Linked DNA regions of Saccharomyces cerevisiae S288C. The gene in region 4 interacts genetically with the main gene of each other region. Each region holds a gene or a part of one and is shown on either strand. Other genes may lie near its edges. The genes, in order: AQY3, PWP1, PUT2 and ESC2.

Region 1 (4,088 bases), on a different chromosome or scaffold from region 4:
TTCTCCAATTTATATCGCATGAGAAAAATAGCATTGGTCAATCATACAGAACGTAACATCAAAAAACAACCGTTTACATATATATAATCACTTGTCTAAAATTGATTGAAATTGCATATGAGAAAATATATGATAATGACAATAATTTTCTTTGAGCACAATTAGTTTATTTGGCAACTTGCTCTTTATTATTAGTAAATATAGCACATATTCATATAAAACACATCTTCAGTGGGATTACCTAGTTGATGGTGCCAGGAATTTTCCTATCGTCAACGAGCTGAAAATTTTATTATTTTTATTAATAACATAATGTGAGACTCCTGGTTTGACATTTAATTTTACGTATTAGTCGAATTTTGTTCTTGCCTACAATAAAAAGACAATTAAGCCGCAGGCAGTCTCATTCTTTATTACAAAAACAAAACGATAGAATTTAGAGCACAAGTAAGAGATGGTAACAAAGTCACGGCTCCCGGATGTAGTATGTCGTCAAATAATAAGTTCGTGAAATTAATAATTAGGTTATAAATCGTAAAAAATTGAAAATATTAATTATGACGAAGTAGGCACAGATTTCTTGCTGCCAGTGTTGCTGTTGCTGTTAACACCAGATTCATCTGAGACAGTGCCATCATTCTGGTGGAACTCCGCATGTAAAAGTTTACCTACCCTATTCTCAATATAACCGTTGTCTGGGTAGTTGACTGGGGATTCGCATCCAGTAAAAATGAAAATGTCATATATGAGTGCTCCAGCAATACCGCCGGCAATTGGACCACCCCAGGCTCCCCATGTCCACCACCAATGTGTGAGATGAAAAGCATGTGGACCATAGCCAATCATGGAAGCAAATATGCGAGGACCGAGATCTCTTGCAGGATTGATTGTGAAACTTGTTTGATATCCAAGGGCCATACCAATTGCAGCGACTAAGAATCCAATAATTAATGCGGTCATACCATTGCCAGGTGGAGCATTACTATCATCCAATAGCGCCATCAAACAACCCACAAGTATAGAGGCTCCTATGAATTCGTCAAAGAAGGCATTTCTCCACGTGACGTAAGACTTTGGATCAGTAAACAAACACGCACCGGTCGCCGTTGTTCTTATGTGCGGACCTCCCTCAAATTCTGTGATAGAGCTCCAAAAATAACCATAAGCCATAGCTCCTCCAAAATATGCACCGATAATCTGAGCAACAATATATACGGGCACCTTTTTCCAGGGGAATTTTCGAAAAATTGCCATTGAAATCGTAACAGCAGGGTTAATATGACCACCACTAATACCGCCTGCGACGTAAACACCAAGCATACAACCGAACCCCCATGCAAATGATAGGGATTCATAGGAACCACCACTACCTTTTGTTACAGTTGCTTGAAGATTACCACCAACACCAAAAATGACAAGAACTAGTGTCCCGAGAAACTCCGCAAACGGTTCTCGCATATGATAGCGAATTTTTGCCCAAAAGTTAGGAAATGTCATTATATCCGCGTCTTCATCTTCTGAGGCACCAATTTCATTACCATCTAATGCACTCGTACTTTTATTTTCCTCTTCAATAAGTTCTTCAGGAAGCTTCGTATAAACCGGAGTAGAACCATCGAGGGTTTGCATGTTCTTTAATTTTCTGGATTCTGCATCGGCTATGGAGGATGCGTAGCTTTCATCGCCTAATGAAAAATTGACATTATGCGAAGTACGCTTTTTCTTACGTGAAACATTCTCAATATGCGTGTTAGAGGGCTTTTGTGGGTTTTCAGGCTCTAACTTAGTAGGTTTCACATCTGCACCAACAGTATTATCGCGTTGCGTTTGAGCTTCGATGTCACCAAGCTTTTTACCCGGTGCTGCACCTCTAAGGAGCCTTTTCCAGTCTTTCACTGACGTAGTAGAACCCCCCCTTGAAATATCGGTCGACCCTCGTCTCGATGATGCGCGGGACCTTGCATCCATATTCTTTTGTATCATCTTTGCTGCCAAGCCTCGATCCAATACATGCGGTAACGGCTGATTTAAACTCCAAACAGGCCTGTTCCTGCTACTACCCATAGTTGGATTTAATTGCCGATATAGTGGGTCTACATAATTATTACTGTTGCCTTGATTTACCCCCCTGGATAGATAATCTTGCATTATACGTGCTTGCTCAGCATCTGAAAAACTGTTTAAAGTCTTCAAATTAGGCAAAGAATAAGTAAAACCCATGGAAGGGACCTGTGGTTGTACCGAATCCTTCCTCTCGTCAACCACTTTTTTCAAGGGTGTCAAAGCAGAAAGTTTATTTCTCGATGATCCTCCAGTTTCAATTGCTTTTCGAGTCTCACCTAGCTTTCGCCTCAAGAGAGTGCTGTCATTTTCGTTATTTTCCCTAGATTTTTTGACACTTTCTTCCCAAGCTATTTTACCATTAGGTTCTTCTTTTAGCGTTGGTGGCCGTGTACTCTCGGAAGAGGAGGATGACCTCCCAGATTCGTAACTCATTACTTGGGTCTAGATCATATATCAGAGGAGCGTTATACTGTGCGATTATACGCTTCTTTTTATATGAATAAGGGGGAGACATGGTGAAAAGGTACCAGAACTTTTGATCGACCAAGACTAGGTAAAGCTCAAACAACGTTTATAACTCAAATTTCCGGGGTAAGTGGGGTACCGGAAAATTATGATATTCCGGAGCGGAGTTATCAACGGAGAAAACTAGGCCTTCTGATGGAACTTAATTTAAAAAATTAATCACAACCTATGCATATTATTCCCGCAGAGGGTGATTGTGAGTAAATCCCTGCACAGAAACAATTCCCGCCAGGCCATAACTAGATTCTAAATTATTTAACTCATAATTTCATGAAATCGTATCGTAGTACCAAATAGGGAGATATTGAGCCAAGTAAATTCTTACGTCACCATAGTTGGATAATTAAGTACTTGATATTGTATAAGGATCTCAACAATACGAGAAGGGGAAAATACCGCAATGTGTGATTGAATTTTCAAACTTTGGATCATTAAATATATATAAATGAACCCAGATCAGCCCTTTTTTTTTCTAGTATTGTCTGTAAAGTGTATTTTACCTCAAAATCTGACAAAACCCAACTACAATTGACTAAATAATCATGTCTCACAAACAATTCAAATCAGATGGAAACATCGTTACTCCCTACCTACTTGGCCTTGCTCGAAGCAATCCCGGCCTTACAGTGATTAAGCACGACAGAGTGGTTTTCCGGACTGCGTCAGCTCCTAATTCAGGGAACCCTCCTAAAGTTTCATTGGTTTCTGGAGGTGGCAGTGGTCATGAGCCAACGCATGCCGGTTTTGTTGGTGAAGGTGCCTTAGATGCGATTGCAGCAGGTGCCATTTTTGCTTCTCCTTCAACTAAACAGATCTATTCTGCTATTAAAGCTGTTGAATCTCCTAAGGGTACCTTGATCATTGTAAAAAATTACACCGGTGATATTATACATTTTGGTCTCGCTGCTGAAAGAGCTAAAGCTGCTGGAATGAAAGTCGAACTGGTTGCTGTAGGAGATGATGTCTCTGTCGGTAAGAAGAAAGGTTCTTTAGTCGGGCGTCGAGGTCTCGGAGCCACCGTATTGGTGCATAAAATTGCTGGGGCAGCCGCTTCTCATGGACTGGAGTTGGCAGAAGTTGCCGAAGTTGCTCAGTCAGTAGTTGACAATAGTGTCACAATTGCGGCATCTCTTGATCACTGCACGGTTCCTGGCCACAAACCTGAAGCCATTTTGGGCGAGAATGAGTATGAAATCGGTATGGGTATTCATAACGAGTCTGGTACCTATAAGTCTTCTCCGCTGCCATCGATTTCTGAGCTCGTTTCCCAGATGCTTCCTCTTCTTCTCGATGAGGATGAAGACCGTTCTTATGTGAAGTTTGAGCCCAAAGAGGACGTAGTTCTTATGGTTAACAACATGGGTGGTATGTCTAATCTAGAATTGGGTTATGCTGCAGAGGTCATTTCTGAACAATTGATTGATAAGTATCAAATTGTGCCCAAGAGAACGATTACTGGAGCATTCATTACTGCATTGAATGGTCCTGGGTTTGGTATC
Region 2 (4,134 bases), on a different chromosome or scaffold from region 4:
TGCGAAGTCAACGCGTTAAAAACATCCATATTAGCGTTTTTGGCCAAAATACAAGCGTCATAAATCAATTCACACAATCTTGTTTTCAAAGCCTTAGTAGCTTTTGGATCAAACCTGTCTTTGAATTGGAAATCTGCATCGGTGGCATAATAATACAAGTACCCGATGCCTAGGTCCTTATATTTTGTGTTATTTAGGATTGTGAATGGCAATGAGTAAAATGAGAAGAAGTCTGTAATTTTTCCATCGGGCTGTTCGACTACATATGAGAAAATTACTTGTTTATCCAATGGTAACGATTCTTCACCAATGAAATTATGTTCGAATTCTTCTTTTGTGAAAATTTGAATTAGTTCGAACCTGGATTGATATCTTTTGAACAACTCAAAAACTTGGTCAATATCTTCCTTCTTTAATTTTCTCAATCCCGCTGTCTTTGTTTTGGCCGGTAACGCATTCTCAGCAATCATATCCTCCTCTGTGTGCCCATCTGGTAACCCTGTGAAATCTACTTCATAAAGTTTCTTCCAATTCAAGGGACGATGAGTATAACGACACGTACTCACAGGTGCTGGCAAAACAATACCTGCCGTGTACAATGCATGCCAGATGTCACATTTGTTCACTCGTCTCGTAATTTCTTTAATTAGAACAGGTGTTAATCTCTTCGATCTTAGCTGTTTGTGAACGCACAAGAAATTGATTTCTACACTAGGCACTTGTTTACCTCTAACACCAAGTGTTACTGGTATGGCTGAGATAAAGGCAACTAATTTCTGTGTTTCTTTAACGCGAACACCAATATGCCAATCCTTCTTCCAACCTGGACTCTTTAAAGCCCAATTGAAGAATTCTTTGGTATAGTTAAATCTGAAGCCTGCATCGCGGTCTTCCACGTAGTTTTCATTTAGTAGAACGAAAACATCTTCAAGCTGTTTTTTGTTGTCCACATCAATACTACACCATTCGAAGCTAGACAATAAAGGTAGTGGCTTGTCAGATATATCTTCCGGTGTCTTTGGCTTATCAATGGGGCCTTCTTCCACCACCTTTTCATCGAAATCTTTGACCGGTTGCGTTCTCCAGAATTTGTGGTCTTTCATAGCTTTTTTCTGTTCTTGAGTGAATTTTGAAGTATCGTCATTATTCAACTGTAATAACTTCAATAAATTCTCTAATTTTTTCGCTTTATCCTCTTCTGACATTCTATAAATACGTTTACTACCGAAGCTCTATGACAACCAGAGCTATTGTACAGATCATTCTCTAAAAAGCGTGCAACACATATCATCTTCAATTATAGTGAATTACTTTTATCATGAGCAACGGCTGAAATTATTTTATCCTATTGTTTTATGACAGTATCCTTTCAAAAGAGTCGAAAGGATCCTCTGTTGCAAGAACTACTATTACGTAATTATACATAGTCCGCCTGCAATTTCTAGTGAGACTTTGCTTTGCTTTCCACTTTGCGATTAATATTGAGAATTTTAAACGTTAACTGAATTCTTACCCACCCATAATAAGAACTCTAACTGGCGAATTTATCATGAAACAAATCTGCAAGAATAAAAAATTAGAGAATCGTGCAATTCAATTTAATTGCCTTGTCCGTTGTAAAACTTTTCCATAGGCCCTACCTTGAGTTGATCATATGTATTATTCTATATATATTATATCCAGTCGGGTAATAAATTTTCTCGCCCTCGAAAAAAAGAAGTGAAAAATTTGTCTCGATGAGCTGAGATGAGTTTGAAAGAAGCAAAGAGTTTTAATTTGTAAACGATAGCAAGTGTACCCTCAGTTGAGTCTATTACGCCTTCCTTATTTGGAAACTTAGAAGACGAATAAAAAAAACAAAATAACTAATGATTTCTGCTACTAATTGGGTTCCAAGAGGGTTTTCCTCGGAATTTCCTGAAAAGTATGTTCTGGATGATGAGGAAGTGGAAAGAATTAACCAATTAGCACAGTTGAATTTGGATGATGCTAAAGCTACTTTGGAAGAAGCAGAAGGCGAATCAGGTGTTGAAGATGACGCCGCAACAGGTAGTTCTAATAAGTTGAAGGATCAGTTGGATATAGATGATGATTTGAAAGAATATAACCTGGAAGAATATGACGATGAGGAAATTGCAGATAATGAGGGTGGTAAAGACGTTTCCATGTTCCCGGGTTTAAGTAATGATAGCGATGTTAAATTCCATGAGGGTGAAAAAGGTGAAGATCCATATATTTCATTGCCTAATCAAGAGGATAGTCAAGAGGAGAAGCAGGAGTTACAAGTTTACCCATCCGATAATTTAGTTCTTGCTGCGAGAACAGAAGATGACGTTTCGTATTTGGATATCTACGTTTACGATGACGGTGCTGGGTTCCACAGTAGCGATATTCCCGTTGAAGAAGGTGATGAAGCTGACCCAGATGTTGCTCGTGGATTGGTTCGTGACCCTGCACTTTACGTTCACCATGATTTAATGTTGCCTGCTTTTCCACTATGTGTTGAGTGGCTTGACTACAAGGTTGGATCCAATTCCGAAGAAGCAGCCAATTATGCTGCCATTGGTACGTTTGATCCACAAATTGAAATTTGGAACTTGGACTGTGTTGACAAGGCCTTTCCCGATATGATTCTGGGTGAACCTCTTGATAATTCAATGGTGTCTTTGAAAAGCAAAAAGAAGAAGAAGAAGTCTAAGACTGGACACATTACTACTCATCATACCGATGCTGTTTTATCCATGGCACACAACAAATATTTCCGTTCCGTTTTAGCATCCACCTCTGCAGATCATACCGTAAAACTATGGGATTTGAACTCAGGTAACGCAGCCCGCTCCTTAGCTTCCATTCATTCAAACAAAAATGTTTCATCATCTGAATGGCACATGTTGAATGGTTCCATTCTTTTGACCGGTGGTTATGATTCTCGAGTAGCTTTAACAGATGTTAGAATTTCTGACGAAAGTCAAATGAGTAAATACTGGTCTGCCATGGCAGGTGAGGAAATAGAAACTGTTACATTTGCCAGTGAAAATATAATATTATGTGGTACTGATTCTGGTAATGTGTATTCTTTCGATATTAGAAACAATGAAAACCGTAAACCAGTTTGGACATTGAAGGCACACGATGCTGGTATCTCCACATTATGTTCAAACAAATTCATCCCTGGTATGATGAGTACAGGGGCCATGGGTGAAAAGACTGTCAAATTATGGAAATTCCCCTTGGATGATGCTACGAACACTAAGGGCCCAAGCATGGTTCTGTCTCGTGATTTCGATGTCGGAAATGTATTGACATCGTCATTCGCTCCAGACATCGAGGTAGCGGGTACCATGGTCATTGGTGGTGTCAATAAAGTTTTGAAACTATGGGACGTTTTTACCAATAGATCTGTACGTAAGAGCTTTAAAAGTGAACTAGAGAATGTTCAAGCAAGAGCAAAAGAAGAAGCCCAAAAAATAGGAAAAAGTTCAAGAATCGCCAGAAAATACACCAGTAACGATAACCCAGATACTGTTATAACCATTGATGATCAAGGTGAAGATGAAGAAGAAAGAGAAGGTGGAGATGAGCATGATGACATGGCATAATCTGGATATGAAAAATATTAAAGCAGAGTACATTGCAAGTACAAATAAAAAATCTATAGAAGATAATACTGTATACTAGTGTAAGAGGAGCCTCAGAAAAAAACAATATAATACATTAATATGTGCTGTTACGGTATAATTTAGCATATGATGACAATGTGGTGAATTACAGTTGTGTAACTTTTTTATATCACCCGGCATATATACGCTCGTAGAATGCGATGTGAAAATTTTCTTTTTTTTTTTTTTTCAAAGTGAAATTTTTTTGAGTGATGAGATGGGAAATGAAAAATTTTGTGCAATTGCGTAGTGTCTACAGTTTTTTAAGTAGTTATTAAAAGTGTTTTGGAAGGTATATTTCTAGGAGAAGAAGCGTGCAGAACAGTATTTAGTGAAAGATGGCTCCTATTGAATACCTACTGTTTGAAGAACCTACTGGTTACGCAGTTTTCAAGGTTAAGTTGCAACAAGATGACATTGGTTCAAGATTAAAAGAAGTTCAAGAGCAAATCAATGATTTTGGTGCTTTTACAAA
Region 3 (4,125 bases), on a different chromosome or scaffold from region 4:
AGTTCATTCACGTCAATTTCATCTTCTTCGACTTTCTCAGTAGGGGTAGAACTTTTTTTCTTCAAAATTATGAAAGATTGACTAAAAGAACGATTAAATAGACGAGGAACGGTGACTGGTCTACAATTTAATCTAGCTGTGGTTAAAATCATTATTTCTTGCTGTTATTTTTCTTGTCAGGGACTGCTCGCCAAAGTTTCCATCTTTAAGCTTACGAATGGACGTATTTAATAAATTGATGTTCTGTTTCCGGACGGGTCCTTATGCCAAAAACAGAATGAATATGCGGCGAATAAATAGCAACGTGAATAAGTAAGTCATGACAGAATATAGAACGGGAATTTGGACGGTTGGTTCAATGAATATTTTTAAACTATTTACCTAGATAAATTAAAATTGTAAAACTAAAAAAACCTAATGAAGTAATCAAAACCCTTTTTTCGATAATCTAACATTTACATGAGTTGATGGATGAAGTGACTGCATTCGCGGTTCTATTCCACAAAAATTTTTTTATTCATAATTCGATGGATATTTGAAATCAGTCAACTCGTAGAAGTTCTCCTTTGTGTTTCTAATACTGACAAATCTGCTTAAAATGTTTGGACCACCAGCCTTATCGTCGGTACCACTCATTCTTGCGCCACCAAACCATTGCTGAGAAACAACGGCACCAGTACACTTATCATTTATGTAGAAATTTCCTGCGCTAAACTTCAACTTCTCATCTGCGTATTCAATTGCTTTACGATCTTTGGCAAAAATAGCACCAGTTAAGGCGTATTGACTCGTATTATCGATAATATCACAGATTTCATTAAATTCAGTATCTGGATACTCGTAAACAGTTAATATAGGGCCAAAAAATTCTGTTGACATATATGGATGATCTGGTCTCTTGGCTTTTATGACTGTGGGTCCGACAAACCAACCTTGGCTTTTATCGTATTGTCCACCGTAAAGAATTTCCAACTCGGGGTCTTTCTTTGCATCTTCAATTACTTTAACTAATTTGTCGAAACTTTGTTCATGGATGACAGGACCCATAAATCCCCGCAAATTCCCACCAGAAATTGGACTTGCGGATGTGTTCATTGGGACAACATTCTGTGACTGCAATATGCCAAACATATCGGATAAGAATTCTTCACTTTTTGACTCTGGAAGATATAACCTGGAAGCGGCAGAGCACTTTTGGCCTTGGAACTCGAAAGTGCCTCTAATAGTAGAGAGTACTGCATGTGATATATTTGCACTTGGGTGAACTAGATGGAAATTTTTACCACCTGTCTCACCAATAATACGGGGGTAATCTCTGTACTTCCCTTCAACAACGCCACTTTGTATTTTGCCATACAAACTCTTAAAGACATTTGTAGAACCGGTAAAATGCAAGGCACCAAAATCTTTATCAGCTAATACCTGGTCAGTAACTTGAACTGGATCACCTGGAATGAAATTTATGACACCCTTTGGCAATCCCGCTTCTTCCAAAACAGTCATCAATAAGTAATTTGAAAGGGCAGCGGTTTGTGAAGGTTTCCAGACAACTGTATTACCCATCAAAGCTGGAGCCCCAATCAAGTTTGCAGCAATAGCAGTAAAGTTGAATGGTGAAACAGCATACACAAATCCCTCTAAAGGTCTGTATTCAGCTTTATTCCAAGTACCATCCGCTGACTCTACGGGTTGTTGAGCATACAAGTCTGATGCATACTTGACATAGTATCTAAAAAAGTCAGATAATTCCGTGATACAGTCGATTTCTGCCTGATACACATTTTTTCCCTGGCCCAGCATTGTAGCAGCTAACATGTCATAACGATACTTGGTGGAAATTAAGTCAGCGGCTTTCAAAAAAATTGCAGATCTGTCATAAAACGGTAGATTGTACCAATCCTTTTTGGCATCCTTGGCGGCTTTTACAGCATTCATGACATCTTTTTCCGTGGCTTGTGTGACGTTTGCCAGTACTTGTTGATGGTTCGCAGGGTTAGTCTGCGGGAAAAGCGCTCTTTCATTATTGTCATATATCCTTTCCCCATTGATGACCAGTGGCACTTCTAAAGAAGAACTTTTGAATTTCATCAAGGAAGCCCTCAGTAAGTCCCAGTCTTTTAAGTCTATGTTTCTAAATGGCTTAACAGGTTCATTTCTTATGTGCTTGGGGGGCTTGATGTGTCCCAGTTGTGAGAAAGATCTCTTGAAGTATATAGATTTGAGGCACCTTGCTGATAGCATAATTCCTGTGAATTTGAATTGGCCTTCTATACAATATAGATTATATTAACTTGTTTGTATTATTACATATTTTCCATGGATATACTTCTGGAGTAAAGTCAGCTGTCCTGTCACCCTTATATAGTAGGCCTATCCAATTTTTGTCGGCTTCGGAGTTGGCTTCCCGAGATGTCCGATGGCGTAGATAAGCATTGTTACTGTCCCAGATAGCACAATCTATTGCTTAAGTAGGTGTGAGTCCTCTCCAGATGCTGTCATAGATGAGTGTGTTTCTTCTGATGTCGGCGATTTCGGTGAAGATGGCAAGGGATATGTTTTGATGCCATTGCCATAGTAGCTCTTGGCTCTTACAAAACCCAGTAAGAAATTCGAACTGAAACACCAAGTTATCACACCACAAAAAATAACAAATAGTGTTTTCCAGTTTAATGGATCTATGAATGAGTTGATAATGTCTCCGAACAATTTTGCGCTCAACGTTGATCTTGCACGGAAAAAGATATCGTTATTTCTGTCCATACACTGTTTCCATATAGCACATTGTTCGCCCAGAGCCGGCAAGCCAGGCGTCTGGTTACAACGATTTGTGAGGTACTGCTCTTGACAAATTCTGGATTCGTACTGCAGTTCATGTTTTCTTTGTTCCCATGTGGATTTCAAGTCCTTTTGAAGCGCTATGATAAATGAGAGTATAAAACTAAAAATCACTACTGTAGTGATCGCATTGAGAAATAACTGTAAATATGACATTAGGGCATATGACGCTCTTGATGCCGGATGTGAATTGGGTGACCATGGTTTAGGCAACTTGAAAGCTTCATTTTGGTCGTAAAATTCATCTATTTTATTGTGATTTGGTTTAGTAAGAGAATAAGTTTTAATGCCGTCCTTATCTGAATAGAAGTAGTTGTGTGTATTGAATGAAACCTGAATTGGTTGATATTTTGATCTTGATCTTAATTCCCTCTTGATTATTTCCGAATCGAACGCATTTGCGTACTGGCTTGACTTGTGGTTGCCAAGTGATGATTTGATCTCATCTTCGACTTCTTCATTTCTGATTATGTCTTCACCCTCTGCGTTGTTATTCGAACTTTCATTGTCATCTTGATTGGCCGATGGTGGTAATGGCACAACACCTTCAACTTTAGTAGCTGCGGCCACACCTAAATCGGTCGGTGATAATAATGCCTTTATGACAGTTGAACGATGCGGTGAAACAATGTTCTCGACCTCTTCTACACTTTGGTCTTGGCTTTCATTCTTCTCTTGCTTTTGTCTTTCTTCTGGGGTAGCCTCGATTTCTTCCACCACGGCATTCTCAGTCGCTTCAGTATGAGTTTCGATTGGCTCGTTATTATATTCTTCTTCAAAACTTGTATCATCAACCTCATCTATTTCCATTCGGTCATCTTCTTCCTCATCAGCTTTAGCAGCACTAAAATCCAATGTATTTCGCAGAGGTGATGGGCTCGAGGGAAAATGGGGCATAAATCGGTTGATAAGCTGTGGTGACAAAGTTGGCCCCTGCTTAGATATACTTAGGTCGGAGAGGCCTCCTAACTCCTCGTCAACGTGTTCCATTCCGCTAGTGAAACTGTCTCTTATGCTCAAATTTTCAAAACTTTCCATATGGAAGATCCTATATAACGTTATAATACAACTACTCAATAAGCAAGTATTGCGATAAACAAGCGACTATTTGATGAGATGCTATACCTTTGATGAAATTAAGGGCCCAACTTGCTTTTGTATCTTCTATTGTCTTAGGGAATTTTGCTCTATTTCATCTAAAGTTTTTTTTTCTTTACTTTTTGTTTTCGCCAATACAGGCGTCGCAAAGTGCAGCAAGAATATTTAGCGAGTTATTTGCTTCCACTTAGA
Region 4 (3,769 bases):
TGATGCAGTTACACTACCAATTCTTGCCCTTCAAATCACCTTAAAGGATGATGGCTTGAATTTTATTTTCTGCTGATCTCGTAATTTATACAACCTTTTAGCGTTGATATCATAATATTATGATGAAACGAATTATTTTAATTGACTGCTGTAGCAACAATAGAGAAGTAGTTTACCTCTTGTTCCAAGAAAACTATAGCCGAGGAAATATCAAATTGTTTTGATAGTTGTTCTACGTTAGATGTACTATTCAAACCTAGCACGAAAAAGCTGAAGAGATTTTTGTATTCATTAGGCGATCAAATTTTTATAGAAAAGCGTTAACATGTTGAGTTAGAGATGGAAAAATTCCTTTATAATATTTCACGGAAGGTAGAAGAGGGTCAGCACCTACTTTTTGAACAGAGAATTACCCGAGTATGATTTAAACACAAAAGGTCTTATTCAATTATATTCAGAAAATATTTTACAAGTACCGCAAGCACCACCAACACACCCGCCGCCCATAGTAAATAATAATTGTGGCACGTAAAGAGCCGGAGTTCGGCCTTTTTTAGCAAATTGCGCTCAATCAATAATGACATCAACCATGTCTTCATCTTCCATATCCTGATCGGCTATACACTCATTCATGTCCAATTCATCATGATCAAAAAGTAATTTAACCCTCGTCTTTTGTGGTAACTGTTTCTGGATTCTGTAATATTCGGCAATTTTAGAAAATGGTGTTGAACGCCTAACATGGACATAGATTTTTTTGTTATCTTGACCCATGAGAGCGATTCTCATAACTTCTTCCATGCTACTACTATTTCCTGACAAAGAGCCACCCTCTTGCAGAAGTTTTGTATTCATAACTGTATCATTTTCTTTTATTTCTTGTGTTTCTTCTACGTTTTTTAATTCGGATTCAAACTCGCGATATTCGGACTCTTCTTGTTCATTTCTCTTTTTCTCTAACTTCCTTTCCATCTCCTGACGTTCTTTTATGAGTAAAGCAGCTTCTTCTTCCTTTAACTTTGATTCCAGTGTCGCTTCAAAGTTCTTTTCGTATTCTTTGGATACGATAGTAACATCGATATCAGAGACTTCATTTTCAAAATCCTGTGGGATATGTAGCGAATTACAAGTCATAAAAGTGAGTAATTTTGCATTGTTCCAATAAAGAGTAACATTCTCTACCTTGTATATATCTTTCATTACCTTCGGAATTTTATAGGACTTCATCAATCCGTCCAAAGCAGCAGGAAGTATTTTTGAAAATTCGTATTTTCCGAGGACCTTCACTTGGACCGCTTTATTTATAGTTCCTTCTAGCTTAGAGAGAAATTTGATGTTATAAACTCGCTTCCGCTGGTCGGGTGTCGATTCTTTAGAAATAGTGGTGCTTTTTTTGGCTTCTTTAGCAAGTTCCTTGAAAAAGTCATCGTTTTCATCATAGGTATACAGTAATGAACTTTTCTGTCGCTTGTATTTTCCCGCTGGAGATATTGATCTTATGCTTGACCTGGACCTTGACCTAGATCTGGGAAAATTTTTGTCTTCGTCTAAGTCAGATTCAGATGAGTTTATTTCAACTACAGACTCTTTCATCACAGATCTTCCTCTAGTTCGACCCGATGGTTTGTCTGGCTTGGGCTCCGTAATATCTTCTATATTTACATTTTTACTAGATGATCTGCTCAGGGACTGATGTTGTTCCTTTGCGTCGCTATCTTCACTATCAGATAATGTTAGAGTTGAATGCTTTGATGGCGGTACCGTGACTTTAGAGTCAACTATGACACTTTGCCTATTACTTTCATCGCTATGATCGATTTCATCTATATCATAGGAATTGTCCATAAAGAAGTCATCGCTGTTTTCATCAGAAAAACTTGTATTATCTGGATCTAGATTAATTGAGGGTTCGCTGATGCTTCTGGAATCACCGGTCATCTGTTAACAGCCTAAAACAAATGATTTTTTCTCTTGCCTTTTATTGTTCAGGGCTATAATCCGTGTTCGCAATCACTTTAAAATGAATTCTGAAGTAATAATGAAAAGTTGTTCTATTTCAATTGCGATATACGCTGTCAAAGTGATATATGGTATTGGGAATTCATAGGCATGCTGGTCCCTCCTCTGCCTGTCATTTCTTTTCTTATATGCTACAATAAAATTTGCTGTCTTCTGTAAGGAAATAGAAGGGATTCAGTATCACCCGGAAAGCTGCGGTTCGAAAACCCTACGTTGCAAAAGAAGATAAACAACATTCCATTTTTTGTTCGAGAAAGCCTGGATGAGTTGTTAAAGCTTTGATTTCTACTCAGTAAGAGCAGTTTCATGTCCTAAAAACTAAAGCTAGTACTCTTTGATCCATTAGCGAAATTTCTCTAACTTGCTCCATTGCGATACGTGTAATAATATATTAAGTTGTGGCGATGGCAGTAATACCGGCAAAGAAAAGAGGAAGACCTAGAAAATCTGTGGTAGCAGAAGTTCCCTATGATAGCTTGGCAAGCCCAGTATCTGAAAACTCAGGCAGTAAAAGGCCGAGGAGAAACGCATCTAAGAAAGCAGTTGCAAATTTCGCACAATTAGTGCATGCTGGTCGCGATGATGTGATAAATACTACACAAGTCAATAATGTTGATGACACCGACGATGATGATTTTGTATTGAATGATGAAGGTGATGGTGAGGAAAGTGACAATGTTGAGATAGAATTTGAGAATGAGTTAGAGTCTACTAAAAATGAGGTGGCGGATTTAAACAGTAGTGGAAGTGGAGCTTCTGTTAGACCCAGTGGAAGAAGAAATACTGTACAGAAACTTCGTTTGAAGAAGAATTCGACTAAAAATATGAAGAGCAGCTCCCCAGGGTCAAGTCTAGGACAGAAGGGCCGTCCCATCAGGCTCCTAAAAGATCTTTCGAGTGCAAGAGACAAGATTGAAAGAATTTATGGACTGAATAAGGAAAAGTTATTGTTGCTAGCAAAAGTTAAGGAAGGCTTTGAAACTAGCGTTTTCGATTTCCCATTCAAGAATATTCAGCCTGATTCTCCATATTTTGTATGCTTAGATCCACCGTGTAAAAAGGAAAGTGCATATAATAAAGTCATAGGGGATAAAAACAGAACCGTATATCATGAAATTAATAAGACTGAATTTGAGAATATGATCAAATTGAGAACGAAGAGATTGAAGTTACTTATCGGGGAAGTTGATGCAGAGGTATCCACTGGCGATAAAATAGAGTTTCCGGTGCTTGCTAACGGCAAAAGGCGCGGCTTTATTTACAACGTAGGAGGATTGGTAACAGATATTGCATGGCTTAATATAGAGGAAAATACTGATATAGGCAAGGATATACAATATTTAGCCGTCGCGGTATCACAGTACATGGATGAGCCTTTGAACGAGCATTTAGAAATGTTTGACAAGGAGAAGCACTCCTCCTGTATACAAATTTTCAAAATGAATACTTCTACTCTACATTGCGTAAAAGTTCAAACCATTGTACACTCATTTGGTGAAGTGTGGGATCTTAAATGGCACGAAGGATGTCACGCACCTCATCTGGTTGGCTGTTTATCATTCGTAAGCCAGGAAGGGACAATAAATTTTTTGGAAATTATTGATAATGCAACCGATGTTCACGTGTTTAAGATGTGTGAGAAGCCTTCTTTGACTTTATCCCTGGCAGACAGTTTGATAACTACTTTTGATTTTTTATCTCCTACTACTGTTGTTTGTGGCTTTAAGAACGGATTTGTAGCAGAGTTTGA

What was found.
Region 1: mutations in ESC2 (region 4) and AQY3 together harm fitness more than expected from each alone (negative genetic interaction), as found in Saccharomyces cerevisiae (one large-scale study listed by BioGRID).
Region 2: mutations in ESC2 (region 4) and PWP1 together harm fitness more than expected from each alone (negative genetic interaction), as found in Saccharomyces cerevisiae (one large-scale study listed by BioGRID).
Region 3: mutations in ESC2 (region 4) and PUT2 together harm fitness more than expected from each alone (negative genetic interaction), as found in Saccharomyces cerevisiae (one large-scale study listed by BioGRID).

The regions. Positions count from the first base shown.
Region 1 is NC_001138.5:20,292-24,379, forward strand, and holds AQY3 (Aqy3p), read right to left. Parts: upstream 2,497-4,088; coding exon 556-2,496; downstream 1-555. Other genes in the region: DAK2 (dihydroxyacetone kinase), read left to right, coding at 3,132-4,088. UniProt on the Saccharomyces cerevisiae protein: Channel protein that mediates glycerol entry under ethanol stimulation. Does not seem to mediate glycerol uptake under standard conditions.
Region 2 is NC_001144.5:542,100-546,233, forward strand, and holds PWP1 (rRNA-processing protein PWP1), read left to right. Parts: upstream 1-1,868; coding exon 1,869-3,599; downstream 3,600-4,134. Other genes in the region: glycylpeptide N-tetradecanoyltransferase NMT1, read right to left, coding at 1-1,205; snoRNP complex protein NOP56, read left to right, coding at 3,998-4,134.
Region 3 is NC_001140.6:180,093-184,217, reverse strand, and holds PUT2 (1-pyrroline-5-carboxylate dehydrogenase), read right to left. Parts: upstream 2,242-4,125; coding exon 514-2,241; downstream 1-513. Other genes in the region: RRF1 (Rrf1p), read right to left, coding at 1-152; BRL1 (Brl1p), read right to left, coding at 2,458-3,873; GTPase-activating protein NEL1, read right to left, coding at 4,107-4,125.
Region 4 is NC_001136.10:1,197,352-1,201,120, reverse strand, and holds ESC2 (Esc2p), read right to left. Parts: upstream 1,939-3,769; coding exon 568-1,938; downstream 1-567. Other genes in the region: transcription factor TFIIIC subunit TFC6, read left to right, coding at 2,424-3,769. UniProt on the Saccharomyces cerevisiae protein: May be a substrate targeting component of a cullin-RING-based E3 ubiquitin-protein ligase complex RTT101(MMS1-ESC2). Involved in HMR and telomere silencing via the recruitment or stabilizing of the SIR (silent information regulators) complex.